Linked DNA regions of Styela clava. The protein of the gene in region 3 binds, or shares a complex with, the protein of the main gene of each other region. Links are inferred from orthologs where the notes say so. Each region holds a gene or a part of one and is shown on either strand. Other genes may lie near its edges.

The links.
Region 1: dynein regulatory complex subunit 3-like (region 3) and dynein regulatory complex subunit 7-like share a complex: the UniProt entries of both Homo sapiens proteins name them as parts of the nexin-dynein regulatory complex. The link is inferred for Styela clava from reciprocal best matches to the Homo sapiens genes DRC3 and DRC7.
Region 2: dynein regulatory complex subunit 3-like (region 3) and dynein regulatory complex subunit 5-like share a complex: the UniProt entries of both Homo sapiens proteins name them as parts of the nexin-dynein regulatory complex. The link is inferred for Styela clava from reciprocal best matches to the Homo sapiens genes DRC3 and DRC5.
Region 4: dynein regulatory complex subunit 3-like (region 3) and dynein regulatory complex protein 8-like share a complex: the UniProt entries of both Homo sapiens proteins name them as parts of the nexin-dynein regulatory complex. The link is inferred for Styela clava from reciprocal best matches to the Homo sapiens genes DRC3 and DRC8.

What each region holds. Positions count from the first base shown.
Region 1 is NC_135255.1:21,594,769-21,602,602, reverse strand, and holds the start of dynein regulatory complex subunit 7-like, read right to left. Parts: upstream 3,013-7,834; 5' UTR 2,939-3,012; coding exon 2,790-2,938; intron 1,824-2,789; coding exon 1,646-1,823; intron 1,258-1,645; coding exon 1,086-1,257; intron 468-1,085; coding exon 319-467; intron 1-318. Other genes in the region: putative palmitoyltransferase ZDHHC24, read left to right, coding at 3,526-3,790, 4,678-4,858, 5,283-5,718. UniProt on the Homo sapiens protein: Component of the nexin-dynein regulatory complex (N-DRC) a key regulator of ciliary/flagellar motility which maintains the alignment and integrity of the distal axoneme and regulates microtubule sliding in motile axonemes.
Region 2 is NC_135255.1:14,431,300-14,438,836, reverse strand, and holds the start of dynein regulatory complex subunit 5-like, read right to left. Parts: upstream 3,002-7,537; 5' UTR 2,898-3,001; coding exon 2,513-2,897; intron 2,259-2,512; coding exon 2,123-2,258; intron 1,704-2,122; coding exon 1,110-1,703; intron 1,031-1,109; coding exon 908-1,030; intron 484-907; coding exon 306-483; intron 1-305. Other genes in the region: EH domain-containing protein 3-like, read right to left, coding at 5,241-5,260, 7,311-7,497. UniProt on the Homo sapiens protein: Component of the nexin-dynein regulatory complex (N-DRC) a key regulator of ciliary/flagellar motility which maintains the alignment and integrity of the distal axoneme and regulates microtubule sliding in motile axonemes.
Region 3 is NC_135262.1:17,139,218-17,147,196, forward strand, and holds the start of dynein regulatory complex subunit 3-like, read right to left. Parts: upstream 3,010-7,979; 5' UTR 2,833-3,009; coding exon 2,673-2,832; intron 1,427-2,672; coding exon 1,310-1,426; intron 995-1,309; coding exon 828-994; intron 319-827; coding exon 172-318; intron 1-171. Other genes in the region: dynein regulatory complex protein 1-like, read left to right, coding at 5,012-7,102. UniProt on the Homo sapiens protein: Component of the nexin-dynein regulatory complex (N-DRC) a key regulator of ciliary/flagellar motility which maintains the alignment and integrity of the distal axoneme and regulates microtubule sliding in motile axonemes.
Region 4 is NC_135253.1:7,972,410-7,980,425, reverse strand, and holds the start of dynein regulatory complex protein 8-like, read right to left. Parts: upstream 3,003-8,016; 5' UTR 2,845-3,002; coding exon 2,814-2,844; intron 1,891-2,813; coding exon 1,759-1,890; intron 1,052-1,758; coding exon 946-1,051; intron 472-945; coding exon 246-471; 3' UTR 1-245. Other genes in the region: integrator complex subunit 7-like, read right to left, coding at 4,190-4,341, 5,017-5,107, 5,947-6,213, 6,523-6,621, 7,283-7,369, 7,828-7,906. UniProt on the Homo sapiens protein: Component of the nexin-dynein regulatory complex (N-DRC), a key regulator of ciliary/flagellar motility which maintains the alignment and integrity of the distal axoneme and regulates microtubule sliding in motile axonemes.

The DNA.
Region 1 (7,834 bases), on a different chromosome or scaffold from region 3:
AAAATTTGGAGCAGATTCAACTTCGCTTTCGTGAGATAACGCATAACATACGAAAGTGTCTAACAGACCAATTGAGATAGATGAATAAAAAACTATCGAAGTGCTTTGCACAGATTCAATGACCATTGGCTGTTGCAAGCAAGGAATCAAAGTGTGAGGCAAGGTTATTAAATTTCAAAAAACAGTAAACGAGAATATCGGTCGGAGATTGAAGACTTATGAATTGAAACTGCGGTCTCGATTCGTGACTCTATAGTGACACCACGTGTACCATCACTGATTAATTAATAACTCGCTAATTATACGACATAATTATACCTCTTCTTTTTTCTTTAACAGAGGACAAATCTCCCTCGATTCATCATAAAGACAAACTTCTTTTATCGCGTAACCACTGACAACGTACGCATCATAACCAGCTCCGAGAAGAAAGAGACAAAGAAGGTTGCTAAAGTCGAAACAATTTCCTATCGAAAAAAAATAAAAAACAGATACAAATATTAGTCTCTGAGATGAAATCAACTTCCTACCGGGGACGTTCGAAATTGGAACAGCTCTATTTAAAATGTCAAAGAAAAGTATTTTTTCTGTATCACACATACCAATTTTCCGTAGCTTGGAATGCTTTCCAGACCCTCTGGCCGGGATCAACTAGCACCAACTTTGCAATTAAAAATGTCAGAACCCCCTTTTCGAAAATTGAAGGTCACAATCTTGCTCCCTCTATATCAAGGAATATAAATGGCTGCATGTACAGAGCCTTGTTCAGAGAGGTAGGCATAAAGAGAGTGAAAAAGTATGAAAATCTGTTTCAATAATTTTTAAATTAAACTATGCTGTGACTTTAAACCTGGTTTCGTATTTATCCCAGAGAAGAGAAAAGTTGATTCGATGGCTAAATTGAATGATGAGCCAAAAAAAAATGGAAATACAACTTTAGACAATTTGTCATTGTGATGTGCCGCAGGGTGTGTATTCTTTTTTACTAAAACAACAAACAATCCAAATTATTCAATCTTAGCAATCTCTGATTTTCATCAAAATTGTATCACATATAGATTAAAAATAAAATTCTTGAAATCTACCTTTTTGCTGTTTCAAAATAGTTGTCGGAGAATAAAAAGTTGTCGGCAAGTCACAAGGGGGATCCAAGGGCATCATTGTTATGTAATCTGACACAAACTCGGCACAACCTTGCCAGTGATAAAGTTCCTTGAATTTTAGAAGTGTTGGGCGCATCGTAGTACAGACAAATTTCTGTTAAAAGGAAAAATTTGTAGCAAACAAAAAAGCAGAATCTCATTCCACATAATACAAGTCTTCGCCAAACTTTTGTTTTAACATAGCAGTTCTATACATGATGGAGAATAATTTGGTGAAGTCCAATTCTAGTTCTGAGGGAACTTATGGATGAACACCATAGGAGTTGAACACCAACAATCTTCTGACACATAATTGTTAATTTTTTTTTATTTATTTCATTCTATAAGACACTTTTCTGAAAGTATGGTCACATGCACCAACTCTGAATAAAATATACTCATCTCTGAGCAAAATTAAAGACAACACTAAGATGCCATGGGCTATCGAAACTCTATAAAATTATGATGATGACACAATTGACACCAAGAGTAAGAATATTTACCTCAATTCCACATTCATTTAATGGATTCAGGAAAAGAGGTTTTCTATCTCTGAACAGATGAACATATTGCCGACGAAAGTTTTCTGCGTTTTCCAGAACTAACTTTTCTTTTGGAGAGTTTTCTTTGTACGAATCTGGAAACTCTGACAAATCAAACTTTGGGATTTGAGCTGAGACACTGAAAATTAACAAAATATCAATGTTATGATGACGGTAATTGAACATTTTATCTTCATTTTTTGGGGATTGGTGGGAGGGTGGTTTGGGGTCAAAACAAAGGATGTTGAAATCATTCATTTATATAACCATTTCACGAGATGAATGATTGAATTTATAAATGGAAAATTTTGCATGCGCAGTTACCCACAACAAAACACAAGCTTGCATAACCTAAAATAACGTTATGAATATGACACAACAGTAAGGCACAGTTCTCTGATTCCAAGAATAGCCCCTTCATGATAAAGTTTCAAGCATAAAAACGTCAACAAAAAAAGTTTGAATATGTGATGACTGACCCACGTCGCTATCAATTTAAAATATTATAGAGACAAGCATGTCGTAATCTAACAACTGTACCCTACTACTACAATTCAGCAATTGGCATATCATGCTAACCATAAAGAAGAAGTTAGTATAAGTATAAGTTTATTTCGACTCCATAATCAGCAAAACAATAAAATGAATGGTAAAAATAAATAAATAAAAACTGATTATGAAATCAGGAGAGCGAACAAAACCTTAGATAAGGTTTAAAACGTACAGAATGTATATAAGATGGAAGGTTTTGCCAAGAAGATGTGGTACGTGTTCACTCACCTAAAATAATTGAAATATTTCACACACGCTCACACGCACCCACACACACAACCATCTAGAAGTTATTAAGTGAAGGGAACATGAAAAATTACATACTGGTAGTTAATAAAAAATAAATAAATAAAAATTACTTGCCACACCATATTGATAAATTTATCATGATTGCCACTGCCAAATTGATCAATTTTATAAATGGGAGTGAACAGTTTTCAATCACAATTCTGAATAGCTTGAATAATCCAAACTGCTTAAATATATATTTGTAGGAATTTCTTTATTGTATTTTTAGTTTTTCTTTGAAAAAAAAATAATAAATTGAACTCACTCGCTTATTGGAACAACAATTGGTGGAATCGCGGCATCTAATTCAGCTTTCAACTCTTCTACTTTGCTCTCGACATCGGTTTCTTGTTCTCCCTGTTCCTCCTCGCCTTCTTCCTCTTCTCTCGTCGTCGCTTCTTCAATTTTATCCATTTTTGAAAGTTATAGACTAATATTGGAACGACTGAAAGGAAAGGACCGAAACGACTTTTCAGAAAGTCGAAAACCAGCAGAGCTCTCGCGGCGTAACTACGGTAACAAATATCACATCTTATGGGTCAATGACTTTTACGGGTCAATTAATCAATATCCAGCGTTTTGGGAATATTGTTGTAATTTTATTACATTTTCAAAGCTTGTAAAAAAATTCTAGTTTTATTCAAAAAATTCAAACAAATTAAAGTCACTGTGAGCTAAAATTTCGAAATAGGTAAGCTGAAAGTCACGGGTCAGTGATCCGAAAATGTAGGTTGTTGCGAATTTTAAATTTGAAAGAGATATAGGTATATACCGTACCGATTTTTTGATTTATATAATTTAAATATTTGTTTGTGAAAATTTTATCTGTGTAAACACCAGCGCCATATGATTACTGTTGATGAAAATGAAAAAATTCAGGCCAAACTGATTTTCGTACGTCAGCACGGAACCACGGATTAGGATTCGTCAGTTTGTTTTGTATTTTACACACTACAGCAGTTTCTAAATTTGTCGATATTTTAGTGATTCAAGATTATATAATGGGTTTACTGAAAAGTTTTTGGATGGATTTCACACAAACCATGAAAGCGAAGGAGAATATAACTATGATACATTTCTGCTGTGTTGGTTATTTCTATCTTCTGGCTTTCTCTGCATTGTATTGTTGCCTTTTTATTGCGTTTCCGATTATCTACCGACACGACGACGATTATAATTGGAACTTGTTCGCTTTCTTCTTTTTGTTTATCAACATGATCGGGAATCAAATACTTGGAACAGTTTATAATTCTACATACACAGATGGTATGAATATATTTTATGATCTTTATTTTTTGCGAGTCTTTTAATGCTGTAATGTCTGAATGTGGTACCATTCAGAAATAAATCATTATCTCTCATTATCAATATTTCTTCATCACAGTATAACCGTACATACCGTGATTCCCCAAAATGAGACCTATCCCATATTTAAGAATAATTTTAATATAAGCGCGGCGGTGTGGCTCCATGGGCTAAGCGTTAGGAATACGCTCGCCACCGCACCTCTAATTACTCCAGTACTCTGCGTGGGTTCGCAGGTTCGAACCCATGCAGGGATGGTTATGTGCGAGAGGATTGCTGGACTCCTCGCCGTCGTTGGGTGGTTCACGTAACCGCTGGTCGGTTACGGCTTCCTCCACCACCAAGTCCATGCCTCCGAAAACAAACAATAAAACTTATCCCATACCCGACTTGGAATGGTAACCGGACGAGAGGCCGTGGTTCGCCATATGGATAAGCCGTCCAATCGACTTTCCTCTCCCCCGGTATAAATATGTAAATCCTATCCCACCTATAAGCTCTCCCATTAACGTTACGCTTCGGTGCTCCCTACAGTTGAACGTCGCCAAATGAATACAAATAGCCTAATACATAGGTTCTCAAAGTGCTCCGTACGGAGCCCCAGGGCTCCGCGAGAGTAACCCAGGGGCTCCGCGAGCTATTCGATTACTTTTCAAAATACTGACTTGGCTAATTTAAAACTGTTCCTAGAAGCAATAACAGCTTTGATGAAATTTGACAACAATATAGCGTCGAAATATGGCAAAGGGGCGGAATTAAAAAATTCAAATATGTATTTATGCACTCTCACTTAATTTATGTCTCACGCTTCCTAACAAATATGGATGACTATGAATTGTTTTCTTCAGGTCTAATTCTCAATCCTCCCCCCAAATCCTGGATTCTGTGCATGACGTGTCAACAACATTGTCCTCCACGATCTCACCACTGCCCCGTGTGTCAGAAATGTATTTTGAAGCGAGATCATCATTGTTACTTCTTCATGACATGCGTTGGAATCCAGAATCTTAGATATTTTTTACCTTTCTCGTAAGTTTGAACATTTTATTAAATTAAATTTTGTTTGTGTTTATATTAGTCTCAAATCGACGTTTGAGTTATTGAATTGTTTGGTACTTTTGCTGCCTGTTTTTAACGCTAAATGTTTGTTGGACTTGGTATGGTTCTACCTAAACAAGCATGATGTGATATTAATAGACTGCAGATTAATTTATGTGAGAATTATTAGCCAGTTGAGCAAAAAATATAGATTGATATTTTTTCGAATTTCACATGTCAATGCATAATACGCACCTTATTCATAAGACAATATTTGACTTATTTGCTTTGAAAGTGAATTAGTATTATAGAAAGTAAAATACACAGAGAATACGATATATACTTTCCTATCCTCGGGATAAATTTTGAAAACCTCATGATACTTATATTTCAAAATAATCACTTGTTTTTACAGATTCTACGTGGGGATTGGATCACTTTACTGCGTCAAGCAAATGTTATCATATTTGAACTATTCTTACGTTACGATAGAGTTTTCTCTGAGTGCAATTTTCTCGTACTTTTTTCCGGGAGTAATGTACAACTACCTATGGAGCGGCGAAGGCAATTTGAATTTTGACAAACTGTATTGTATTTTAGTCTTATATGGGTCAGTGGTTACAGGTATAGGAGGTTCATTTTACTTTTTATCCGAGCTTTTTATATCGATGAGGGGGCAAACAATTTACGAATTCGGGAAAGATATTAGAAAATACGATTTCGGCTTTTTGAGAAATATAAAACAAGTTTTATGGCCGTGGGGAATTTTGTACTTCCTAATGCCCTTGCCAGTGCCAACTAAAGAGATCAATGCACCCTGGGGTACTCCAAAGTTTGTTAAAGGTATATAAAAGAGTGTCCATTGTAGGATGAGTAACAAAATGAGTGTCGACAATGCAATAGCTTCTACGCTGCATGGCTCGACAGTGTGGGCCATCGTGCTAAGGATTTTGCTTGTTGCTACACCACCGATTACCCTTCGCAGGTTCGCATTTTCGAATCCCTGCACTTCTTGCTGCTGTTGTGTGGTTCACGTAACAAACTCACATGAACTGGTAACAGGACAAGAGGCCGTGATTCGCCATATGATTAAACTGGTCTATCGGCTTTCCGCTTCCCTGGGATAAATAAGTGAATTTTAATCTACCCTAATCCCATACCCAACATGGACTGGTAACTGGACGAGAGGTTGTGATACGCCATATATCTCTCCAGGATAAATATGTAAATCTTACCCTATAAAATTTTATTTTCATCCTGGACAAGGAAACTACTCAGGATTCACACAAAGGCAGAGAAATTGTAAATTACTGGCAACAGTAATTATTTGTTTACTAACCGGTGACAAATACTAACAACTGAGATTAAATTTCATACTTGAGGAAAAAATCTGGGTGCTCCTGAAGTAGATGGCAGACACCGGAACGTAGTATGTGTACGTAGGGTTAGGCCATAATTTTAGGTACAGATACTATGATAAGAAAACTTTGAATAAAATTATGGCCTAACCCTAACCTGGTACACATACTACGTTCAGGGTGTCCGCCATCTTGGTACGCTTACTTCAAGAGCACCAAAATCTGAAGGTGAGCTGATTGGCGATTGCAGCAAATGGATCAAAATACTACCATCTTTTCCTGAGGTGGCTCTAAACCTGTTGGAAGTTATAGATTTCTGTATGTTATCTGTTTAATATGACAGCATTTTAATATACAGGATGGTTGGTAGAAAAACGAAAAATTTGCCAAACAGTTATTTATATTCACAAAAAATAACTTTCCCAAAGTTTTTTGAAGGCCTATGTTATAATACTACACAGAATATTACAGAAAGGGTATCGAACTAAAGAAAACCTAGAACCTAAAATGTATCGGTAAAGAAGTGAGTAAGCACGCATTTTATTCGTGATCTCATCTGACCTTAAAATTTTCTGCTTTTCCAGCAACTACCCTGTATATTCATATACAAAAATGTCATTGTGAAATGTGGACTCTGGTTTGTAGAAAATATGCAATAGTAACTGTACTATTTACATGTGCTTTAGATGCTATGATGATTTTAAGCAATTTTGTATGTTTTTTATACTGCAGTAAATTTGAGTAATGAATATGAGGTGTTATTTAATTATGCCGGTGGGATGGCACACATTTTGAGAGGAAGATTTTGAGATATAAAGGGTGTCCATAAATTGTGTTATGAAGTCAGTTTTCGATATATCTTAACCCAGGGTTTCCTGTGACGACTGTACCAGGGGCCTGCTACGATATGAAGCGAATCTAATCGATCTTTAATGATGGATTCCAATGCGTCTTTTTGGTTGAGCGTTGCAGACGATATCAATTGCTGTCAGGCAAGAAAATCAAAATTTTATCGATTTGCAAAGACATACATGTAATAGGCAGCAATTTTAGCTCTTACCAGTATGATGCCATAATACAGGTCAAACCTTGAGGGTCTGTCAAAAATAAAATCCACAAACAAGGGCTCGCGGCCCAAAAAGTTTGTGAACTGTCTCAACCAGTTTTGTTGTTTTTTAATCAGTAATCGTTCATGTATTTTTACTTCATTTGATACATCTGTGAGGGCCAAAACAATATCTGGTATCGATAAATTCCCTTTTGCAATTTTTGTGCGTGAGCATGAGTGTGTTTGAATATTATTTTTCTACAAATGAGCGTACGAATGTTTGTCGTGTATCAAAACTTTCTATTTTAATAAAAGTATACACATTTTAACCAGGTTTTATGAAAGCCTTTATAGACAATATTCACAGTAACTAGTTGGTTTTTCCAACAAATAACCTAGCATGACAGACAAAAGGTATAGTTTCGCATATGAACAAGCCATTTCCCATTTCGCCAATCAGGGCGAGATAAATTGGTAGAAAAAAACCAAACCAGAAGGATCCTATGTCTTCAGAAAATATGAGCTCATCACATAACAGTATCTGCTTGTCTGGAGACTTGA
Region 2 (7,537 bases), on a different chromosome or scaffold from region 3:
ATGGTGTCCATAAAGTCCCCTTAAAATTTCAATTTTGTTACGAAGTCAGTTCTAAATATATTTTGACCAGGGTTGTTGTTTTTTAATCAGTAATTGTCCAAGTTACATTTGTGAGGGCCAAAACAATATATGGCATCGATAAAATCTCTGCCATTTTAAATTTAGCAAAGCTGATGTGTGTAATTGGTGGCAAAGTCAAAAATGTTAGCTTTGCCTGGCAGAGAGAATGTGGAATGGTTGAGACTCACATCAATTAGAGTAAATCCCCATCTGCTGGAATAAGTTTCATTACAACTTCAACTTACTGGCCCAATTCTGTTTCCTGAAAGACTTATTGTTGTTAATGCAGTGTTAGATATGAGAACTTGAGAGAAAACAGCAGCTGATGGTTCAGTCAAGTCGTTACATGATAAGTTGATATCTTCTAATGTGTTGTTGTTCAAAAGTGCTTTTGCAATGGCCTGACCACCAACATCACCCATTCTGTTAATGTGAATGGTTTTTCATTATGAATTGAACCTGGGATTTCCAAAACGGAATAACCGATATATATTATTAAATTGACACTGAATGAGCCTAAATTTGTAAAAAAATTAGTTACTCTTCATCAAACAGATGAACAAAACATTTGCATTCTCAAATTGTTATTATGTGTCTCAAATTGGAGATTAGAAACTATTGAAGAATTTACTATATCCAATGAGTGGCGGACAAACAAAACCTATTTGATGGCAATTATAATGCATGAAATGAATACTTTTAGAATTGATTTTTTAACCTAAATCTGGTTAGGTATAATCGTAACCGTGGCAATGGAAACAATATGTGTATGATGGTACCACGCAATATGTCCATATAAGAAATTAAAAAAAAAAAAATTATGTGCAAGTGTGTGATTGACACTAACCTGTTCAATCTCAGGTTGAGAGCCTTCAATTTTGAATTTTTTGTGATGGAATATGCAATTGCTTTTGCTCCTTCTTGTCTTATGATGTTATCACAAAGGGTAATTGAAGTGAGGTTTGGGCATCTGCAACATATTTAAAACAATTTTCAATGATATTACTCTAATTAAAGTAAGCTCGATAATATACAAATTAGCAATTCACCTGTTGTTAATAAGTTTTGCGATTCCTCTTGCACCCTTATCACCGATGCAATTATGTGAAAGATCCAGATTAGTGAGGCAAGGATGATCGAGAAGATTGCTAACTAAAACTCGCACTTTTGCGTCATCTACCTTGCTTTTATGAACACATATTTTTTTCAACCATGTGCAGGATCGCAGTGCTTTTGCAACTAGAAGACAATCTCGTTGTGTGAATTGAAAAAGATTCCATTCAAAGTTCATTCCACAATCTCGCACGCCATAAGTTACTTTGAATTCTTCCAAATTCGGAAGTTTCTCCAGAAGTTCTCCAAATTCAAAGTGGTCCATTTCAGGACTTTCCGTTCCTGCATCACTTCCCATATCTGATGCTTCTTCCTCTTGAACTCCGGGTTTCGTTGGTTCTTTTACAGGAGGAAGAAGTTGTTTGATGTCTAATCTTTTGACATATTTCGAGCATAGGGGAATGGCGTTTGTAACTACATCATCGCTAGTTTTCTCTGGTACAAAATTTTCCACAACATCTTGCATATATCTTTCAAAAAACATCCTTTTCCAGCTTCCACCATAATTGGTGACGTCACATATGTGGTATCTACAAAATTATGTTTGAACTTTGATCAAATCAGGAGAGGATTCTCATATCTATCTTGGGGAAAGTTAATGGCACCTAATTGCATGGCATTGGACTCTCAACCAATTACCATTTCATGCCAAGTATGGGAATAGTTAACCTGATAGTTGTTTCACTGGGGAAGGAAGGTGTAACTGGCCACCGGATGTAAAACCACCTTATGATGGTGGGATGTGTGCAATACTCTCTCACTTCATTATCACTATCCGCACAGGATTTAGTGTGGTCTGTCAATCGCTGAGCAGGTTATAACAAGACACTAACTTCACATGTAAAAGATCCAGAGAAACGAAATACTTGGAATTTTCAAATATTTGTCTAACCTGATACGGGTATGAGTTCTATTTATCTATTATTTAAACTTTTTTGGCGCAACTTACTTAGCTTTACAACATCTTTTCCAATAGGATTCATCTTCAACCAAGTGAGCTGTTACAATGATATCTATTTTTGGTGCAATTTTATCAAGAACTTTGTTTTTATCTTTTGGATGAAGTTCTTTCAGTATTGGATTTTCTGGAAAAATGTAACATACATAAATACGCTAAAGCTGTTGTTATTATCATTTTAATTCAGTTTTGAATATGTTTAATAGGAATTACATTAAATGGAGGTTATTTTTATTAGAGTACATTATTTTCCATGTAAATAATAATCTGATATATAGCCCAAACTTATCTGAGCCAGCAGTGTGACAGTGGTCTCACGATATGACATGCTTTTTACCAATCAGCAGAACAGTGTATTTAAACAGTTAGACAAGTCCTTACTTTCAAAATTGTCAACAATATGGTTTATCACTAAATCTTTCAAAAGAGGTACTGTTGCTAATGACCAATCAGGATCTTCTGCAATTATTCTTCTTAAAACCTTTGTATCATTGGGAATCGTGGGTGCTGCTGAAGGTTGCAAAGAATCTTTTTTAACATTGGATCTTCTGTCTTTAACGACCATGTTGATTATCAGTTCCGGTAACCGTTTCTCAAACGAGTATAAAAACGAAACGTATATAATAACTACAGGAACAGGTTTTACGCTTTTAGAAACAAAGCCATCACCTTTCCAAAAAGCACTGGCGGAGACAAAAACCACAACTGCTAAACAACGCGAGCTAGTAACCATGGCAACGTATCTGCTTGTTACAGCGAATTCCATCGAAATCTATTTTCCATACCGAAACACCGATTTGAAAATTCATTTTTTATCAATAATATGCAAGTAAACAAAATTTAATGACATTTCAAATGATAAAACTATATAAATATGACGAAAGGCGGATCTATTATCAGGCAGAATTTGATGCCACATCTTTTTCTGGCTTTCCGTGGGTTAACGACCACAAACTTTCAGCGGCAGTTCTATTACAGCCGACTGTTTTTAGAATTGTACATAAATATTATTTCAAATTTTCTCATTTTTTGATATTGATTTTTGCACTGTACATTGATAAAATATTCTCATTAGACAAAACATTTTACAGATTGTCACGGGCTACCTTAGATTCTATACCTCACTTTTGGTCTCTTGAATTGCTATATTATAACTCTTTTTTGAGACTTACTGTGAATCTGATTGTCATATCAGGTATTTTATGTATTTATTGCGTTATTTTTGTTTGCTTATGTTTATTTGTTGTGTTGTTTTTATATGGACCACAGCGGTCTGGAGTAATAAACGAATTGAATTAATGGCTTGCATACCTAGTTTTATAACGGATTTGAGGCCACTAGCTTGGGTAAGCTAGCAGACTTTTAAAATATCAAATTTAATTAAAGATGAAAACTTTACAGAGTAGCATCCTTTCCAAACTACAATACCCCAAACACAAAATTCGAGTCAGAAACGTGGGACGGCTTTATTTTACTAAGCATAACATGCATCAGCAGTCACGAAACATTTTAAGCAGCAACAAGTACAAAAGGCATTCCTGGTTCACCATTCATTTGACAATTCAACTTGAGCTGGAGACATTTTAAAAGACACGAGTTAATTATACACCATGCATATAACTTAAATATGACAGGTGGCAAACAAAAGTGAACAGCACATAAAAATATGTGGTTGTGAAAAAATTTGCAGTCTTTTGACTTCCGCGGACTGTCAAGAGAAAGTAAATCCAGAATATTTTTATTAAACTTGAATCGTTCCTGGTGGAATAAATTGCAATTAGAGCGATAAATAATTTAAAAAATGCATGACAAATGATTGACTTCCTACCAAGGTAGTATCATCCAAAAATGGGCTGAAAGCTGCCCAAAAATATCACAAGCAAAATCTTCAGAATAAAAACATTCTTTTTGACTGATGATATAATCGTTGAATATGATGAACTCCAGTTAATGATTCAGAATTTATATTAGGTGAAACTTGAACAAATACAATAATATTAATTTGTTCGAGAATGTTTTTCTTTGATTTTCCAAATCTTCAATCTCCCAGATTAATGCCGTCATGGAAGAAAATTACCAAAAAATAAACAACTAATTGTTTCATTTTTTGAGCAGTATACAATAAAAACGGGAAAATAAAAATATTTGATAAAATCATGCTCTATCTACAAAGTTATTTTTAGCAATTTAAATCTAGTTAATTCTATTTTTATGACACCGTTTAGAGTGACAGTTTTGCTACTAATTTGTTTCATACAACTGTTTCAGTATCATCCCCTCAAAAGAAAAATATACTGCATGAAAAGTATGAATGAAAAAGATTCGGACTTTTGAAGAAAGTATTTAAATGTCTGAAAATCATTTTAATAAAGCAAGACAAGAGATTTTGAGTTGTAAAGTTTTTTAAAAACTGCTTTCATACAAAATATGCCAATGGGAGATCGGAAAATTAGATACAAAGCAGCACCAAAGTTTGAATTTTTTTTAGTTCTTGATAAAAGCTGAAAGTCATTGAATATTATAAACAGATCATAGGATAGAATCGATTTAATTTTAATGTTAAGACACCAAACTTGGTTATGAACAGTACGACAGTAATATAGTATATAATAAGTAAATGCTAAAATAAAGGTATAATATACATTTAGAGATATTAGACTTGAAGTTAATGAAAAAAATGGAGAAAGAAATAAAATAATTACATTTTTGTCTACCGGATCAACATTCTCAATAAAAAAATAAGAACATGTTCACGTGCATTTGCTTGGACAGTTGCCATCATTGGATTGAAATATGGAAGATGGCTTTTGTCTTAAGTGAAGACAAATTACACTGCTATTTTATACACTATTTAAACCAAATAAATCTGCATGAAGCACAAAAAAGTACATTCATCAAAAAATCCAAAGAAAATTTAAGTTTGCCAAATATTCAGGCTTTATAAAAGCGTCAGCTCTCAGCTATGAACATATTTTCATCCCAGTAACAAGCCATTATTGAAGGTCCATATGGTTGTATTTTGTGTAGTTTCTTCTGATAACAAGGTGATCCAAAATTTGAACAATGATGTCGTAACGAGAGATAATGAAATTTAATGATCTGATTGAAATTATATTTCTCCATTCGGTTCTGCAATGCCAATATTATCATTAATATAAGATTGAAAGTAGATAGCATTGGCAATAGGTGTGAATATCAATATGTGCATTCAAAATGAGCCAGTGCTAAAAGCATGTATAAAAGCAATCAGGAAACATACCAACACACATGCCTAGTACTCTCCAAACTGGGGGTCTCGATCTCCCATGGGTTGTGAAAAAGCACGCTGGGAGTCGAATTAATCTTTTTTGACACTACTAATTTCGGTCTTCTGTTCGAAAATATGCAAGCACAATAATAGTATTCTCAGTTTATTTTATATTTTTAATTTTTCTGCATTAAAATCTACTTCATTTTTATTTTAGTTCATGAAGAGCAAAAAAAAAAATGGGTCATGACGAAAAAGTTTGGGAGAACACTGCTTTCGTTGATGTCAGAATAACAATTGTTATAAATCAACATAATAACATCAATAGAGAGAATGGGTGAATAATTATCAATTTTGTTAGTTCTGAGATATCACCACTAGTTAGACTGCTATTGGATCGATAAGAAAAAGCGGAACAATGTGGTTTCAAGTCGTCATCAGCCCAATACACTCCCAAAGGATTGGCATAGCAAAATATTCAATATAGAATGATATTGTCATCAAAGAAGCGTGCAATGAAAGGCAAGCGATTTTACGAGTGATTTAGATTGTAATATATTTTCACCAATCACCATACTTTTTTTTTCTCAGTACTGAACATAGTCACATTTCTTTATTCTTCCATATAAACAGACAGCACAGCTGTTTTTTTTTTTCTTGAAACTATTACTGAGCAAGATCATGACAAACCCAGAAAAAGCGGAACAATGTGGTTTCAAAACACCATCAGCCCAATACACTCCCAAGGGATTGGCATAGCAAAATATTCAATATAGAACGATATTGTCATCAAAGAAGCATGCAATGAAAGGCAATTTTATGAGTGATTCAGATTGTAATACATTTTCACCAATCACCATACATTTTTTTCTGAGTACTGAACATAGATACATTTCTTTATTCTTCCATAAAAACAGACAGCACAGCTGTTTGTTTTTTTCTTGAAACTATTACTGAGCAAGAAACTATGCTACAATAACATATTCAAGACTTCATGTTCGTTGTACCTGTTGTCTCAAGAGTTCGCAAGCATCACATATTCTTCATACAAGTTGATCAAAATGGATTTGTTGCTGAATCAAACCATGCAAAAATGTTAACAGCAAACAATTAGAAAGAAGTGATTCAAAACACATTAGTGTGAAGCATTCTTAGTGCAAGTCTGATGGCTTAGCATTCACCAAGGTGTTTGAAGGATTCCGATCAAAAAGCTCGAAGGTAAATCATGGCCATCGTTTTTCAATAGATCAAATTATTAATCAAACAAAACAGAATAGACGATCAAAATCGAGCCAAATTTGAAAGATACCAAAACTGTATATTGCATTTATCAGAATCTTTAAAAGTGATACTATGACAGGATTAACAAAGACTAAAGAATTAACAAGCCCAATATTATTTCATTACTGCCCAATCACAATATTAAGTTTTTCCTATGAAGTGATAGAGATTTGAAAACTGTGACACACAGTAGGAAGTGATCAAAAATGTTTAAAACTTCGAAAATGTATGTGAAAGCATTTTGAGTCGGTGCCATATTTAATATGATAAAAAGCATGCATGAAATGAACATTGTTCAAGTCAACAATAAAAGTATAAAAATTTCAATCCTATTTGGCATATATAGGTAATTTAAAATATTGATGTCCCAGGAATTCGAAATTGTTGTTTCACCGATAATGTAATAACAAAACGCGAATTATATCACAGTGTTGGGGAATCACCAGAGCAAGAACCATCAACACTACCTCAAAATGTTCAAATTTCACGAACCCCGCTTACATTATTCATGCAAGATGAAACACCATGATAAATTGAATTACAAATTTCAAAATATTGATAAATGGAATTATATTCTGTCAGAGAATACAACTGATAATTTCAGCAAAAATTGTATAAGGAAACCTCACACGAAGGCTTATTGGGACTTACTTCTTTGACTAGGCGGAATTAAATGTTCTGGTAATTTGTCAGGAAGATCGTGCCCATCAACTTTCAGTTGTATGAGATGCATACTCAAAGCAAATTCTTCATCAGTTAATGCACCATCTTTATCGTGATCTGCCAACTTCCAAATTTTGCTTAGTATGGTATTATTGAGTTTGGATTTCTCCATGACCTGAAACATATACGAAAATGCCCTTTTATGATGTTTCTCA
Region 3 (7,979 bases):
ATAGCATAGGGCTTAAAATTGAGCTATAGAACATATGACTTAATCATACTTAATAACAATGCACTAACAGAAATTGCATCTCATATAACCAACAACTTAAAAAATTCATAAAAAGTTAACTACAGTTAATTTCATTTTCACTGCAGATGAAACTAAATCACATACGCTTACCGTGTCTTCATCAATTAATCTGAAGTCCAAATACACGAGATGTGAGAGATAAGCGACAGTAAATAACCTATATCCTGGATCATCACATACGGGACAACCAGATAAATTCAATGTCCGTAAATTAGTGAAACGACGCAAGTAGATGAGCTGAAATAACATAATTCATAAAGGCTATACTTCAATATAATGTTGAGGAGACTCAAGCAGAGTCAATGACTAATGCACTGTTGTTCATGGAATACACTACAAATCGGGACAATAGCAATTTGACTGAATTTGTGACTTGACGTACAGTGACTTTAAATGGAACTCGAAGTTTAAATTTTGATGGACTTCGGATGACTCGGACCCTCAATTCAATCATTTTTGATTAAATATTGGGAAGTATTTGTTATAACTGATGTAGAAAATGCACAATCAGGGTTCCTCAAACTGGGCCCCCGCTTCATGTTAAAGTCAGAACTAGAAGAGCACGAGGTCACCGAAGGTCTTTGGAAGGATGCCACAAATCATAAACATTTGAAAAACACTGATTTAAATATTAGTTCCTTTCTAAAAGAAATACCAAATGAGCAAAAAAAATGAAAATTGCTCATTGAATCAACTTGAGTCTGATTACTGTATAATTCAAGGCGATTCACATGAATACTTCTTACATTGTCAAGCTGATTAAGCTTGTTATTTCCCACAGAAAGTACATGTAGATTTTTGAGGGAATCCATGTTTTCTAGTCGAGATATTCTGTTGCTGTACAAAGTCAGATCTTCTAACTTGGTCAATTTTGATAAACCTTCTAGCACTTCTATGTTGTTGAAAGACAAATCTGTAATTCATTGTATTTGAAATCAATATACAGTAATTAAAATTATATTTGAATACAAAAATAGGTTTACCAATTTATGATTGAAGCTTCTACTTCATGGTGAATTTAACTTTTTCAACTGTTATGTCAAAAAATTCCTTTCATTGTAAAATTTTTCTGACCTAAAGTCCTCCCCCCCTTCAAGATAATAAATGAATAAATAATAAAAAAGCAACGTAACTTGAGTTACATATGTCATTAAAACAATGATGGCAGGGAACACTAGAAAGAAGGATAGAAATAACATCTTATGATAAAATAAAGAGAGTATCATACCTAGCCATACTAAATTGACCAATTGATCTAATCCTTCAATTTTCTCAATAATATTGTCATCCAATTGTAATTTTGTCAGCTTTGTGAATTGCCAAAGATTATCAATCTTCAATATATCTGTAAATAAGTAAAAATAAAATGATGATACAAATTAAACAGAGCAGATAACTTATCCATTGCATTTATCACAAATGGGCATCAGTAATAAAGTTTTCTAATATTTGACCAAACTATCAAGAGCCATATTATTTAAGCTTTTATGGATTTAGCAAATGAGAAAAATAACTGCAAGATCTATGGAAAGATTGTAAATGAAAACTTGAGAGATAATTTAGACTGAAATTGACAGGTCAGAATATGAGTAGAAGGCTTCTACTTCATAAAATTATATTTACTAACACGTGTCAATCCTAACCCCTACCTGACAACACCATCCAAAAATGACGTCACTACGGCGTCACAGTGACGTAATAGAGCCCTTCAAACTATACGAACTGTCACCCAAGACGCGCAGAAGAGAACCCGAAATCGGACAGCTATTTCCCTCGTTTTTTCGCCGCAGCGATCCTGATAGGAGAGAGATCGCTGACGTTAGTCAGTTCTTCATCGTCGGCACCGATGCCATTTCGGGCGATCGGATGTGTGTTTGGCAAGCTCTATGACGTGATTGTGACGTCGTAGTGACGTAATTTTTGGATAGCGAAGTCAGGTGGGGGTTAGGACTGACTTGTAAAAAAATTGTTATGCTACGCCTAGTAGAAGTACAATGGGTACGAAACTACAGGAGACCCCTTTTTTCGAGTTCGGTAACACAACAGAGTGGAGCATGAAAATAGTTGACTCGTACAAACTTGTTAATTGTTTAATATGCACGACTTCCTAACTTCAAGTTTGAAATTTCATTATAATCACCACAAAATATGAATATTGTCCATTTAGCATAATATGTAAGATGTAATTTTTCCTGTTCCCTTCACTTAATAACTTCTATATGGTTGTGTGTGTGGGTGCGTGTGAGCGTGTGTGAAATATTTCAATTATTTTAGGTGAGTGAACACGTACCACATCTTCTTGGCAAAACCTTCCATCTTATATACATTCTGTACGTTTTAAACCTTATCTAGGGTTTTGTTCGCTCTCCTGATTTCATAATCAGTTTTTATTTATTTATTTTTAGCATTCATTTTATTGTTTTGCTGATTATGGAGTCGAAATAAACTTATACTTATTATACTTATAATATACCTAAAGTAAAAATAAAAACTAGCTAGCTAAGTTTTCAAAAAAAATTGTCTGTCATTGTATTTACAGGTTTATTTACCCTTTTTGTGATATATTTCGCCATAACGTTTTTACCACTTACTTCTAAAATCTAGTCTTAATGACAACACGTCTTTGTAATCAATTCCTTCTTGTTTTGCAATTCGACCAGCTTCTTCCTTCGGGCCTTGCTCTTCTACAGCTTTTCTGAGCATTTCATCGTCGATTACCGCAGGTTCAACGGTGTCATAAAGGCGACTCATTTTTGAATCAAATATATTCAAGGAAGGGAGATATGCAGAGGAAACAGAAAATGGAAAATCACGGCGCTAGCCGCTCACTACGAGCACCAAAAAAATAAGTGTTATTTGTTTAGTCTTTGGCAAGCACTTCGCGCTTCTGCGTTGCTATGGATTCGGGCTGTACTTTGCAAACGAAAGGATCCAAATTGTTGGTATAAATGTATTCACATAGATATAAAATACTTTGGATTGAATTTTTTTATGATATTTAAGCAAAAAAGGGATTCAGTATAAAATATCGTGAACAGATTGCCAATTTTTTCGCACCATTGGTTTTTATAATAACCATAGCAACCAGTCAAACGAAGCACTATCATCCAGGCATGACTAGTTGAAAAGGTTGATCGCGATTAGGAATGTAAGCATAGAATAGGTGTTCTATTTTCGAAACAAATTCTGTTTAGTGGTCTGTAGCATCGTGTTTTTGTTGAATTTAATTGCATTCGAACTATAGATAGGTTATTTTATGACTAGATAGCAGGAAATATGACTAGCAGGAAGACTTACCGGTACCGTAACACGGGTCGTCAGGTAAAAGTGAATGCGTCGAAATCGAACGCCTATTTTATTGTAGTCGAGACAAATACTGAAATATGCAGCTATGTAAGCTTTTTTTAAACAATAGCGGGTATAGGATTTTCATTTGATACTGACCGTCAGAGAATTCTCACAAATGTCGCTACTGATATATACAAAATGTGTTATTGTAGTGATTTTCTATAATTCTAAAAGTAGTGAGGTCTGAATGTCTTCCAGTGAGTCATGCCTAAATAGATATAATAGCAGTATCTTGGTCATTTAAAGACATCTTACTTAATTTAATGAGTTTTTGAGTAGTAGAGTAGATGTAGGGTGGTGTAGCCAGTCTGCGGACGATTTCATTCAAACCCCTATAAAACAAAAACCAATATTTCTAACCTGTTAATTTTTTCACCGTAGGTGCATTGGCATTCATTCTACACGCTGAACTTCGAATTAACTTTCTACGACCAGGGGTTAAAGCTATACAAACCACCAAAGTACGACACTCTGAAGACGTATTTGCGACCGAACGACCAGTGTGCGACCACGGATTTCAATCCTTGAACATCGTTTCTGCTGCGTCGAGACTAGATAATACGCAGCCATGCGTGAAAAAATGGGCTTCTAATTGCATTTCTGACCGTCATATATTTTAAGAATACGATTATTTCGAACAAAATTTTTCAAATTATAAACAAACACCGCATCACAGCAATCAAACAGACAAAAACACGGTGGTCGCAAATTAGTTGACAAAGATATTATTGACGTATTGGAAATGCGCACCCCCCTACTCCCCCTCCTTTGAAGGTAGAGACGCGAAACTTTAAAGATGGTTAAAAGAAACACAACTCTACCCACCTTCCAAGTTTCATCTTTTTATCTCTTATATTTGTATGGATTTTCAACCTTTTTTGAAGGAACAATGGGTAGTTGGCGACATGGTAAAATGGTCCGTTTTTTTTCTTCGGTCAGGTTTTCGGTCGTAACTTTTTCATTTATGGCCGCATTTTAGTGTAATTTCGTAGAGCTACGAGGGATAAGTGGACGATAACGCGTGAGAAATATCGGCGCGGTTCGTTAATTTTTTCGGCATTAATTTAATCGATGAAGTTGATGGTCGCAGATAGGTCATGGCCGCAAAGTGGGTAAGCCACCCTAAATGTAAGAATTTAAGAAAACTGAAGGAGACATGTTATTTGATGTTGTGACAACTAGACTTACTTCATCATGACATTGTCTCATTGCCCAATAATTTATTTAATAAAATTGAGCCATATTTTGGAGAATTGCTTCTTACCGATTTGAATTGGATTAAATTGAGTCACTTAGAAATTCAGAAACTCTTGATTGTGATGCACTGAGTGTTTGAAATGGCAGTGACTTTTTGTATAAACAAGGCAAACTAAAATATTCAGGTAACTGAATAAACTTCGGATTAATTTACTGGGTTTAACCCGGTATAAAAGTATCAAATCAATTCTTATAGCTATAGACATTCTCTGAATGACAGAGTAATTCTGATTCTGTGTTTTCTAATTATCACTAAGTAATATATCTTATTTTATGTCTATTTATAGTGTTAAATAGTTTTTGTGATTCATATCATACCACAAATATGTTACATGTTGACGATGGGGACGAAGAAAGTGGGCCTTCGGTTGAATCTGTAAATCCAGAAGAAAGAATCCTTGCTAGGAGGATCCGAATCCAACATAGAATCGAGCAGCTCAAAAGAGAAGCTCTGGGTGACGATGCTCTCATGAAAAAAGAAGTCAAAGAAGAACAAGGAAAGGGAAAAGAACAGATTGAAGAAAGTCGAAAACGCCTGAAAAAACTCCTTGGAGATGGTAATGAACTTGTAACAAATGTACGAGTTGCCGGTGATGCTCGTGAGTCTGGTCATCGAATTGTTGAAGAAGAAGCTAAACGAGCAAGGGTTGAAAAACTTGAAGCAGAAGCAAAGGCATCTGCTGAAAAATTCGATGAAATCAGTAAACGATGGTCAGCAGCTCGCATGAAGGAGATCCCTCAGGATTTACATGATATGTTGAAAGAGCAAACAACAGGTTGTGACGCTGTGATCGATGAAAAAAATAAATTGATAAATATTTTACAACAAGAGTTAAAACAAAAAGATGATGAATATGTCAAAGATTTGAAGAAGCAATCAGAAGATGTTGATCTCATTATTGAAAGAATGGAAGAACAAATTAAAAATCTAACAAAATCACACAGAGAAGAGCTGAGACAAATTGAAGATGCTTACACAGATGGTCGCAGTGATATGAACAAAGCTGATCGACGGAAATGGGATTCAATGATGCAGCAGAGACGAGATAAAGAAGAAGATCACATGAAACTGAGAGAAAAAAGAGTTGAGGAACATGAGCGCCAATTGGATCAACTTCGCACCCAGGATGCTGAAGAATATAACATGGTGAAGATTAAATTAGAAACTGATGTACAAATTCTGGAGCAACAATTGCAACAAATGAAAGCTACATATCAGTTAAATCAAGAAAAATTAGAATACAATTTTCAAGTCTTAAAAAAACGTGATGAGGAAAATACCATCACTAAGTCACAGCAGAAAAGAAAAATTACCAGACTTCAAGATGTCTTGAATAACCTTAGAATCAAGCTAGGAAAGCAGGAACGTTCATACAAAGATGAGAATCAATCACTCGTTGATGACTACAAAAGAATAGCAGAGCAATACAAGGAATTACATAAAAAGATGAAGCACTTCTCAGCAACTGATAACAAAAAATTTCATGATATCTGGTGTATGAATGAAGAAGAAGTACGAAAACTTGTTGATAAAGTTTTGAATACAGACTGCATCATACATCAGCAACAGCTTGGCTTGCCGTGGTCTGCTCCTGATACCGCATTCATGGATTCCCGTGGTCCATTGCTGGCAGCTACAGAAGGAAAGGAAAAATCTGCTTTGATGATGGCCAAAGAAGTTTTGGCATCAGTGGCAAAACCAAAACAGGATGATAGTTTGCCTTTGACATTTGATGATGAAAAGTCTCATTCAAGTACAAAAGTTTCTTTGAGTGCTGTTAAGAAAGTCTTGGAACTATTATGTGATGAGGCTGGATTTCTTGTCGAGGAAAAGTTGAACAAGCTGTTACGTCCCCTTCAAAATGAAGAAAGGTCATTGATCAAGCTGGATGCAATATTTAAAGCTTTAAATATCGAATCAGAGGATGACATCCATAAATTGGCAGCCTTTTTTGCTCAACACAAAGAAAAACTCAGTGACGAAGTGAGTGAATCATCTCTTGATCATGAAGTGTCATCTACTATGGACGGGAAAGAAAATATGCATCCAAATGAAGTTTTAAAGGTTTTGAAACAATTTGTTCAAGAACATATCAAACCTACAGAAAGAAGAAAATCGAAAGGTACAAACAAACTGACTGCACCAGGACGTGATGGCTCGCAAGACGAACAATTTTGGAAGTCAATGGCAAACATCATTCCAGAGCACAAACTGAAGATGTGGGATGCACTGACACAAGCGTTTGACAAGTATCACAAAGTACTCACAGAGAGAGATGTTAAAATAAAAGAAACAGACAGCCTTAGGCAACAGAATGCAGAACTGAGAATGCTACTCCACCAATACATCACTTCCGAAGTCAACAGAGAGCTCGAGATTCCACCAACTCGTGTCCTTCAACTTGAATACAGCTAAAAAACATGTGCTTCTCCTAATATTTTGCTCTTCTTTAACAATATTATTTTGGTTTTGTAGTCACTGTCGATTGTTTTTTCTATATATATATTGTTATCATCAAAACAATTATAAAAATTACCTTCAACAATGCGATGTTCAAATGCAATTCTTTATACCAATGATTTAGTAGTGAATCTTTACTTTAGTAGCTTTATTAACTATTTACCTAACAAAGGAACTACGCCTGAAACACAACCGGGCATAGATTCATTGTGAGGTGAAACTACACCGTAGACGTGTTTCAGCGCATTAGTCATTATATTTTAGTGGTATGTTAGTTGTTGGCTGATACCGATATTAAACGCAGTGGGTACAGCTTGTCCTCAATAAATTTTGAATGTAACACAAAGAATAACTCACGCAGGAGTGAGAGTTTTGAGGGCCGCCTGTTTTTATAATTATTGTTTGTATTCCTTCTGCTATGCTCATCTTATCTACCAAGATTTCATGTTATATTTTGATGTGTAAATTGAGAAAACCACATATGTAATTTATTTTAAAAGTTTGCGTTAGGGAGCGCGAAATACTTAATTAAGAAACATACGTATGGTAGGAAGTAATGTACTGATACAATAGAGATTTGTAAATAATTAGCTTTGAATGTCTTTCTAGACAACTTTTTGTATTTCAAGATTTGATTTTTCAGATAACCTCAGTTCATCGAAGCTGTCGTTCAAACTGTTTCTGATCTAGCAAGCTAATGTTTTGCCAGATAATCATAACTAAAACCAAGGTATTATTATCCGTGCACCTTAATAGTTTTTAATTTTCAACGTTTCGATCGGTATTCAATTGAGTGTTCTTTCGGTGCATTTTGCTTTGTTGGTGACAAAAA
Region 4 (8,016 bases), on a different chromosome or scaffold from region 3:
TGCCTATTGTTTAGAAATTGACCGTTTATGTTGAACTTCAAGATGTCTGAGGAAGTCATGTGGTTAATTTAAAATTTATACATTCCATCAAGTTATGAACATTCAGCAATAAGTACCTTTTTATGAAGGCCAACAAGAGTAAACAGCTTCAATTTTATTAAATCATTTTTTTAATAACAAATGACTTGGAGGTTTAATACTTTGGTTTACAATATGGAGTAGTTTTAGCTTACGCTATAATTTAATCAAGTTTCCTCAATAGCCATTAAAGAAACATAGTCTTTGTATAAAACAACGCCACGATCAGGATCAACGGCAGCAGAGAGAAATTCGTCCATTTCTTCTTGTGTAAAAGGTTCTCCTTCTTCAGTCATATACTTTGTGATTTCTTCCTGAGACAAGCATCCTTTCTTATCCTGATCAAGAACTTCAAATGCCCTGAGCAACTGATCTTCAGGTGAAGGTTTATATCTGGAGGTGGAAATAGAATACTTTGCGATATTTGTTTTATACTTGCGTCGCTAGGGAAATTACTTTACCTTAAGCATGATTGATAATACATGCAAATGCTGTATTGTGATTTCTATGATCTAAAAGAACTTTTTGTCAAATATCATCCAAAACAATGACGCAACTGTTGAACTTCATTACAAGACTCGATGCAAGGAATAACGCGGAGTTGGACAATAAACATTAAAGTTGAATTAAAACTCTTTTTACACCCATCTCTCATGTTCAACATAGTTCTGTTGCTGAATATAACAATATCTAATTAACATATATAATAGCTGAAAAAAACAGATAAATTTAATGATGCAATTATATGTCAAAAAACAAAAAATACAATCAATATATAATGGCAACATTTAAGATTATTGCATATCCATTCTATGTGGGGTCACCAGAAACAAAGTAGCGAATATCTTTTTAACGACGACAACATACCTCCGTTCCATCAAAACATGTGTCATCATAGGTAAAAATTTCTCAAAGCGTATGTAACCTGTTGGTTCCTCTTCTTCTATCTCAGCCAACATATCATGCAACTCTCCTATATCAACATAGTTTCAATTAATATAAATTTGTGATATTCAATGTAAAATTAAGATCCTGACATCACAGTCAATTTAACTTTGCATTGAATGTTAGAAATTAAGGTTCAGTTTTTTTTAAGATCAGTGATATCAGTTGTCGGCTCATACATACCACTTCACACACAATGTGAGAGTAAATTTCTTTCATCACAGTAGCTAATATATTAAAGTGACAGCTTGCATGAAGTCATACAAACAATTATGTATAAAGTAAAGCAAGCTCTATAAATTAGCATTAGCATACTGAATTGAAAATAGAACACTGATGACTATTCAAAATGTAATAATCATACTGCTTGAATTGATCCCTAAAGTATATCACAGTTATGTTGAACAATGTGAGCCGAGCAGTTTGTACATCCATTATGACAAATCGTCGGTTTATTAAATCACAACAATGTCTAAAACTATGCAATTCAAGAGTCTTGCTGCACACTAACACAAATGTATTTCTGTAACGTTAGATTGAGACAGTTAGTCACGCGCAACCTCTACTGATAGTTGAATGTCTGAAACATTTGCAAAAATAAATCATACCACTGCGACACATATGCCAATAGTTACCTAACATTTTATTACAGAATTGTAGACAGGCTATTAGCTTAAATAACGGAAACTGGAAAAAATTATACAAGATACAAACATAAGTAAACTACACTAGTACCTTCTGATGGGCAACATCCTAGTGATCTCACAATTGTTCCGATTTCTCTAACATCAACTGTTTTGTTTGCTTCGTGGTCAAAGATTTCAAAAGCATCTGTAATTTTCTTCTCAATTTCTGCCAGCATAGACTCTGAAATATAAATTAAGTCAGTAATCTAAACATATATTTCAATAATTTTCACTAAATATACATGTTTGTAATAGTTTGGCAAAGGATTCAACTTCCAAATGCAATAGCGAAAAATATGCAGTAAATTATAAGATACATTAACTTAAAATATATACATTCACTACAGCAAATTAAGGAAATAAAGTTTTCTATAATGTGTGTGATGCTTCGAAAAATTTGAATGCTCCTTGTTTCAAACACTTATGTGGTAAAATTGTCAAAATCTAATACACTTTTCATCTAGAATAGAATTTACATATTTATCCTGAGAAGAGTAAAGCCGATTGGACGGCTTGATCGATCATATGCTGTACTGCGGCCTCTCATCTGGTTTGTAGTTAGCCAGTTATTTATTTTATCATATTATGGACTTCTAATGGCAGAGCAAGCTGTAATTGACCAAAAGTTATTTATGTGAACCACCCTACGGTGACAAGGATTCCAGCAATCTTCTTTCACATAATTATCCCCCAAAGTATTCGAAGCTGCAAACCCACGCATGGCAGCATGATGATCGGAGGTGTGGTGGCGAGCGTATTCACAACGCTTAGCAAATTTTGCCACACCACCAAGCATGCATGCAGACATGCCATACAGTGTTGAGTTTCCATATGGTATTAATCCAGAGGATTGCTGATGTAGACCACTGGTACCGTACCTGCTTCATCTCATAGACTACCGGTACCGTAATTAAGCATGCCTACTAGATCCTGTAGATCTGTAGATCAATATGCAAAAGCCACAAAATCTAGTTTTACGGTATATAGGTACTAGGACAGTCAGACCGTGAAAATTTACCAGCAATAGTGTAAGATTAAATCAAGTTCGATTACTGGATTACATAATTTGTTGCGATCAAAGCTTTTCAGTGAAACTTGTTTTACCTGCCGATTCTTTTTCCCCGGAATCAGTCATTGCGCTAGAATTTTCGATGCTACAAATCAGATAATATACTCAGTAGCCAGTCGTATAAACCAATATTACAGAAAAATCTGGAGTAACAACATAAAGGGCTCATTCCATAAGCGCCATCTTATTCGTAATATTTTGTTGATGCCAGGGTCAGCGTTTCATGACGGTCGCCATAACAATCATCGGCTAGTAGTGGTAGTAACAGGCGTCTGTTGGGACTAATCCGGATAATTTTTGATACGATATTAAAACTTCAAATATGTTTGCATAAATGTTCATGGCTCATGATACGTTTCTTCGCAACATTTAAAATAATTTTGTTATGATCTATTGCCGCCTGAAACAAACAATATTCAATGTTAAATAAGCGAGACCATGTATTGCAGTCGGATATCATGCTCCCCATATCTCGACATACGACTAAAAGTTACTTCAATATTTTAAATATATACACAAGATCGGTAGACACAAAATCTATCCATTTACTAAATTGTAGTTGTTTAAGAGGTTGTAAAACACGAAGTGGAACTACATTGTCCTGCGCATTAGGAATACCATTTTCATTGCATCTACGATTATTTTGTAAAAGTTCGCAGGAAATCTGTGGAAACATAATCATTGGTATACTAATATTAGGCCTTCTTTCGCCATGTGGAGCAATCAACTGGTAGACTGTCATTATTCGATTAAGCAAATAAATAATTCATCTTATCACCCACCTCTCCCCTGTTAAAGCTATGAAAATCCTTTATTAAACAGTAAAACCACAAAACTGATGATCGAAACAAAGACTTTAAAAACGAACATCTTAAAACGAGATATTGGAATCATAGGAACCCATTCTAGGGCATAGGATATATAGATTTCACACAGAATAAGAAAGCCGATAAGACAGCTTAATCATATGGGAAATCGCAGCCTCTTGTTCAGTTACCAGTCCATGTTGGGTACGGGGTTAATTAGCCAATTATTTGTTTCAGATGCATGAACTTGATAGTGGAGGAAGCCGTAACCGACCAGCAGTTACATGAACCACCCTACGGAAACGAGGAGTCCAGCAATCCTCTCGCACATAATTATACCTCACAGGATCCGAACCCACACAGTGTAATCAGAGCACTATATGAAAATATCATAGACTTGTTACAGTACAGACATTAAAGACTGTAGTGCAAAGTATTTGATTTCTGGTGCTGTAGCCTACAAAAATAGGTTTGACTTCATCTCTTCAATTCATTCAGACATACAAAACAAATTGTTGTATTAGTTTATTGCAGTAGATATCGTAAGATGTCGCAACACAATAGTTTAGCAAAGACAGGCTAGTTTTTCCAACAATAGATGAAGACTATTTATGAGATCCCTGACTCTGTTGAATCAGATTTTTAACTCTTATAGAATCATCCAAACTTCGTACTGTCAATGACTCAGTTGGTCCACACTTCCAACACATTCCATGTTCGTCTATCAAACTCGATTCAACAATGATATTATGATTGCCTTGATTAGAAAACAAGTGAAATACAATTATGCATTTATGACAGTTTTGCAAATTTTTATATTGTACATATGAAAGTATTGACATAAGTACATTAAGAAAAGGCTGTCAAAGTGTCAAATATAATTCTCTGCTGCTGTGAGGACAATAGCTGGCACAGATTTCCCATGCAACTATTTGCTGATATACAAAATCATATAGCTTATATGAAATGATTCGAAATTTCAGGAACAGGTTCTCTTATTTCACTCATTTTAGAAAACCATGCCGAACTTATAGCTATAATAACAAGAAAACAGGATTGTCGATTATCTTTACATTCCAATAACAGGCTCACACAAACCTGTGCAAACCCCCTTAATCCCACTGCTCATATCACTACTGACATAGCCCAGATTAGTTGTCTGCTAAAACAGTACAAGTCAGGCAGGCCATTACAACATAAATCAACACTCTTACCCTCAATAAAAAAATTTAAAAAAATTGTCATAATATGATTGGAATATTCTGGTCTATCGTAATATTTTCAATTCGACAAGGTGTCCAATAAAATTTTTGACTAATTTTTTATTTTGAGGGTTGATTAACTGTAAAACAAATTGAAGGGTCTGTGAATATTTTTCAACTATAAACTGAGAATTTAAGTCAGCACAAAGTAGATGAAGATGGTTTCTCACCCAAAGCAGGAAAAGAGAGTAAAAATTGTGTGCTGAAATAATCATTGTGTGGTTTCACTGTTTCTTCAAGAAAATTTCCGGAATCAGAGAGCTGTAAAAATGTTATTCTTTGTTAAATTTGTTTAGAAATGATTGAAGATCACTTTACGAAAATTATTTTGAAACAAGAACTTTTTTATTCTAAGAAAACGAATGTAAAATAGAATTGTACATATACAAGTTAAAGAAGTACCGATGTAAGTCGGTATCAGTCATTTTTTTTGGTATGGACTAAAAATAAACTGTTATTTCTGATATGTTCAGTCCTTTGATCTGATCTGGAATGTTATGAAGTATAAGTTAGTATACATGTATTGATGACTAAAATAATTTTTTTGCCTTGGAGGAATCATGTAGGCGACATTTACTGCCTCTTATAACGCTTCACTGGGGTTGGTTAATCGACTGAATGACTTTAGATGGTTACTGGTTATGATTTATTTTGACCACTAGCTGACATCTCAGGTATAAGCAGTAGTGGTATTCAGCCGGTTCGCACCGATTCTATAGATCCGTCTCACAGAATTTTATGAGATCAGCGAACCGGTTAGCATTACTGAAAAAAACATGATTTTTTGTAACAGAACCGGCTGAATTTGTGTGATGGAACCGGGTGACAAAGAATTTGAATCCCACCACTGGGTACAAGTATTACCTTTGTTATGTAAAATTACTTCAAAAATAATTAGACATCGCAAATTTCCCATGACTTTTGATTAAAAAAGTATCACTCACTGTATTGGTGAGTACCAATAGTGCAGAAGTAATTTAACTAAAAACAGTGAACCAATTCATTGTTAATGAAAAAAAAATATACATGATTTAGTCCAAGTTCAGTCCAAGCAAATTGGTTAAGACATCATGACCACTCAAAAAGTTGACAAAACTCACCTTGACATTCATAGATGCTTGCCTTCCTTGTTGAGCTTGATTAGTTCTTAGTGATAATTTGATTTCAGAAACATGCCGAAATGCACAACGTTTTTCTTTTCCATTATTACCAAAACCACTCTTGCTTGTTGCTTTGTCTGCTTCTCCCAATGTAGTACCACCAGGTCCACCATGTCTTATCACACCTTCAATTTTGAGAGCTAACCTCTCACACACATCAACAGTAACCGGATCATTAGGCGATCGCTGACTTGGTGATATAGCAAGCTTAGAAAAATTTTAAAAAACATGTCAGTATTCATCAAATTTAAAAAAAAATGGTTATATACAAAACAATACATCGCACATTAACTTACACAAGTAGAAATCGCAAAACATCTATTTTTGAAAAAAAATTTTTTTTTTTTTTAAAAATGCAAGATATGAGCATAGAACATAATATGAAAACTAATTAATTACAGGTTCATTATTTTTCATATTAACTACCAATATTATCTTTTGTATGTAGTGACATGTAAATCAAATTGTTTACTCGACATAGAACAAGTCGAGAACGATTTAAAATATTTCTCATACCTTTATTGTAGTTGTTTGTAAGCTCTGATAGAAGTATCTCGGATAGGAAATTGGAATTGAAAGCAAAAGAGATGCACATTGAAGAATGCAGTCTGCGTGCTGTGAAAAAAAAAAGTTTTGGCAAATATGTTACCATTCATCAATACATATTCAAGCCAGGCCCAATATATGAAATTAGCATTGAATATCATATGTCCATACATATTGAGCCATGAAAGGTAGACTCCATAAGCAAAAAGGAAGTGCATAATTAAAGTTCACATAAACAGTAAAGATTGACACTTTTCTAAGGAACTAATTTTATGCTGGAAACCATAAACAAATTCAATTACCTATGACGTATTAATCTGATATTTATAACAATTAACAAGTTAACTCCTTGTATTGAAAATGTTTTTCTTTCTCTTCAATATTGGTATATAGCAATAACATTTTTCTACACAAATATTCTCGTCAATGTTCATAGTTTTATTCGGATATCATTTGCCACGACCCGAACATGACTTGTTTCGAGATAGTGTTTGACAAGTAAATAAGTTGGCCTTCAAAACTACAATTGCAAAAAAAATAAACGGCAAACAGACAAAACTGTATTTATCAGATTGAGTCAAATTTTTGACTGCGTTCGTAGAGATAAAATATATAAATCCAGAATCACAATGCAAATTCAAAATATATTATAGATAGAAAGTAAATACAAAGTCATCAATAAATGATGTGACAGACCAAATGAAAGGTTAAAACTATAATATCCACTCACTATATTGCTGAATGAAGATGAAGATGCAGAACTACGAAATACTTTATCCAATTTTGACATGATTGTATCGAATGTCTCCAGTAAAACCTGAAAAAAATGAATGAGAATTCGTTCAAGAGTTTTGCTAGTCTAAAAAGCATTTCAAGCTAAAAAATTGCTATGTATGATACATAAAAAATTTTTTTTTACATTTCAAAAGAGCGACCCACTAATGCCCCCTGGGTTTGCCCTGGTGACCGCAATCCCGAAAAAATTAATAACAGGCTAACTTATCCCATACGGTATACCCAACATGGACTGGTGACGGGACGATAGGCAGTGGTACACCATATACCGGTAATTAAGTTATCTTGTCGCCTTTCCTTTCCGTGGGATAAATATGAAAACTCCGAATTGCCATCAAAAGGTAACTCACATTTCTACTGCTTAGCAGTCACCAATCTACCTATGATTAGCTATCAACCAACATTTAAACCAGAGCTTATTTATTTCCAGACTTATATGCTCATGATGTTTTTTCATATTCCACTCACAAAACTACTTACTGTGGTATTATAATTATCTCTTTCTATTGATAAATCTTTACTGAAAGAGCCAACCCTTCTTATCGATGTGGCTTCTTGTCTGAAATGTAAATAAATAAAATACTATGATGTTTAGGTTGAAATATATGGAAAATATATATATTTATTATAAAAAAATATTTATTTTATGTTAATACTTCACTAGTTCAG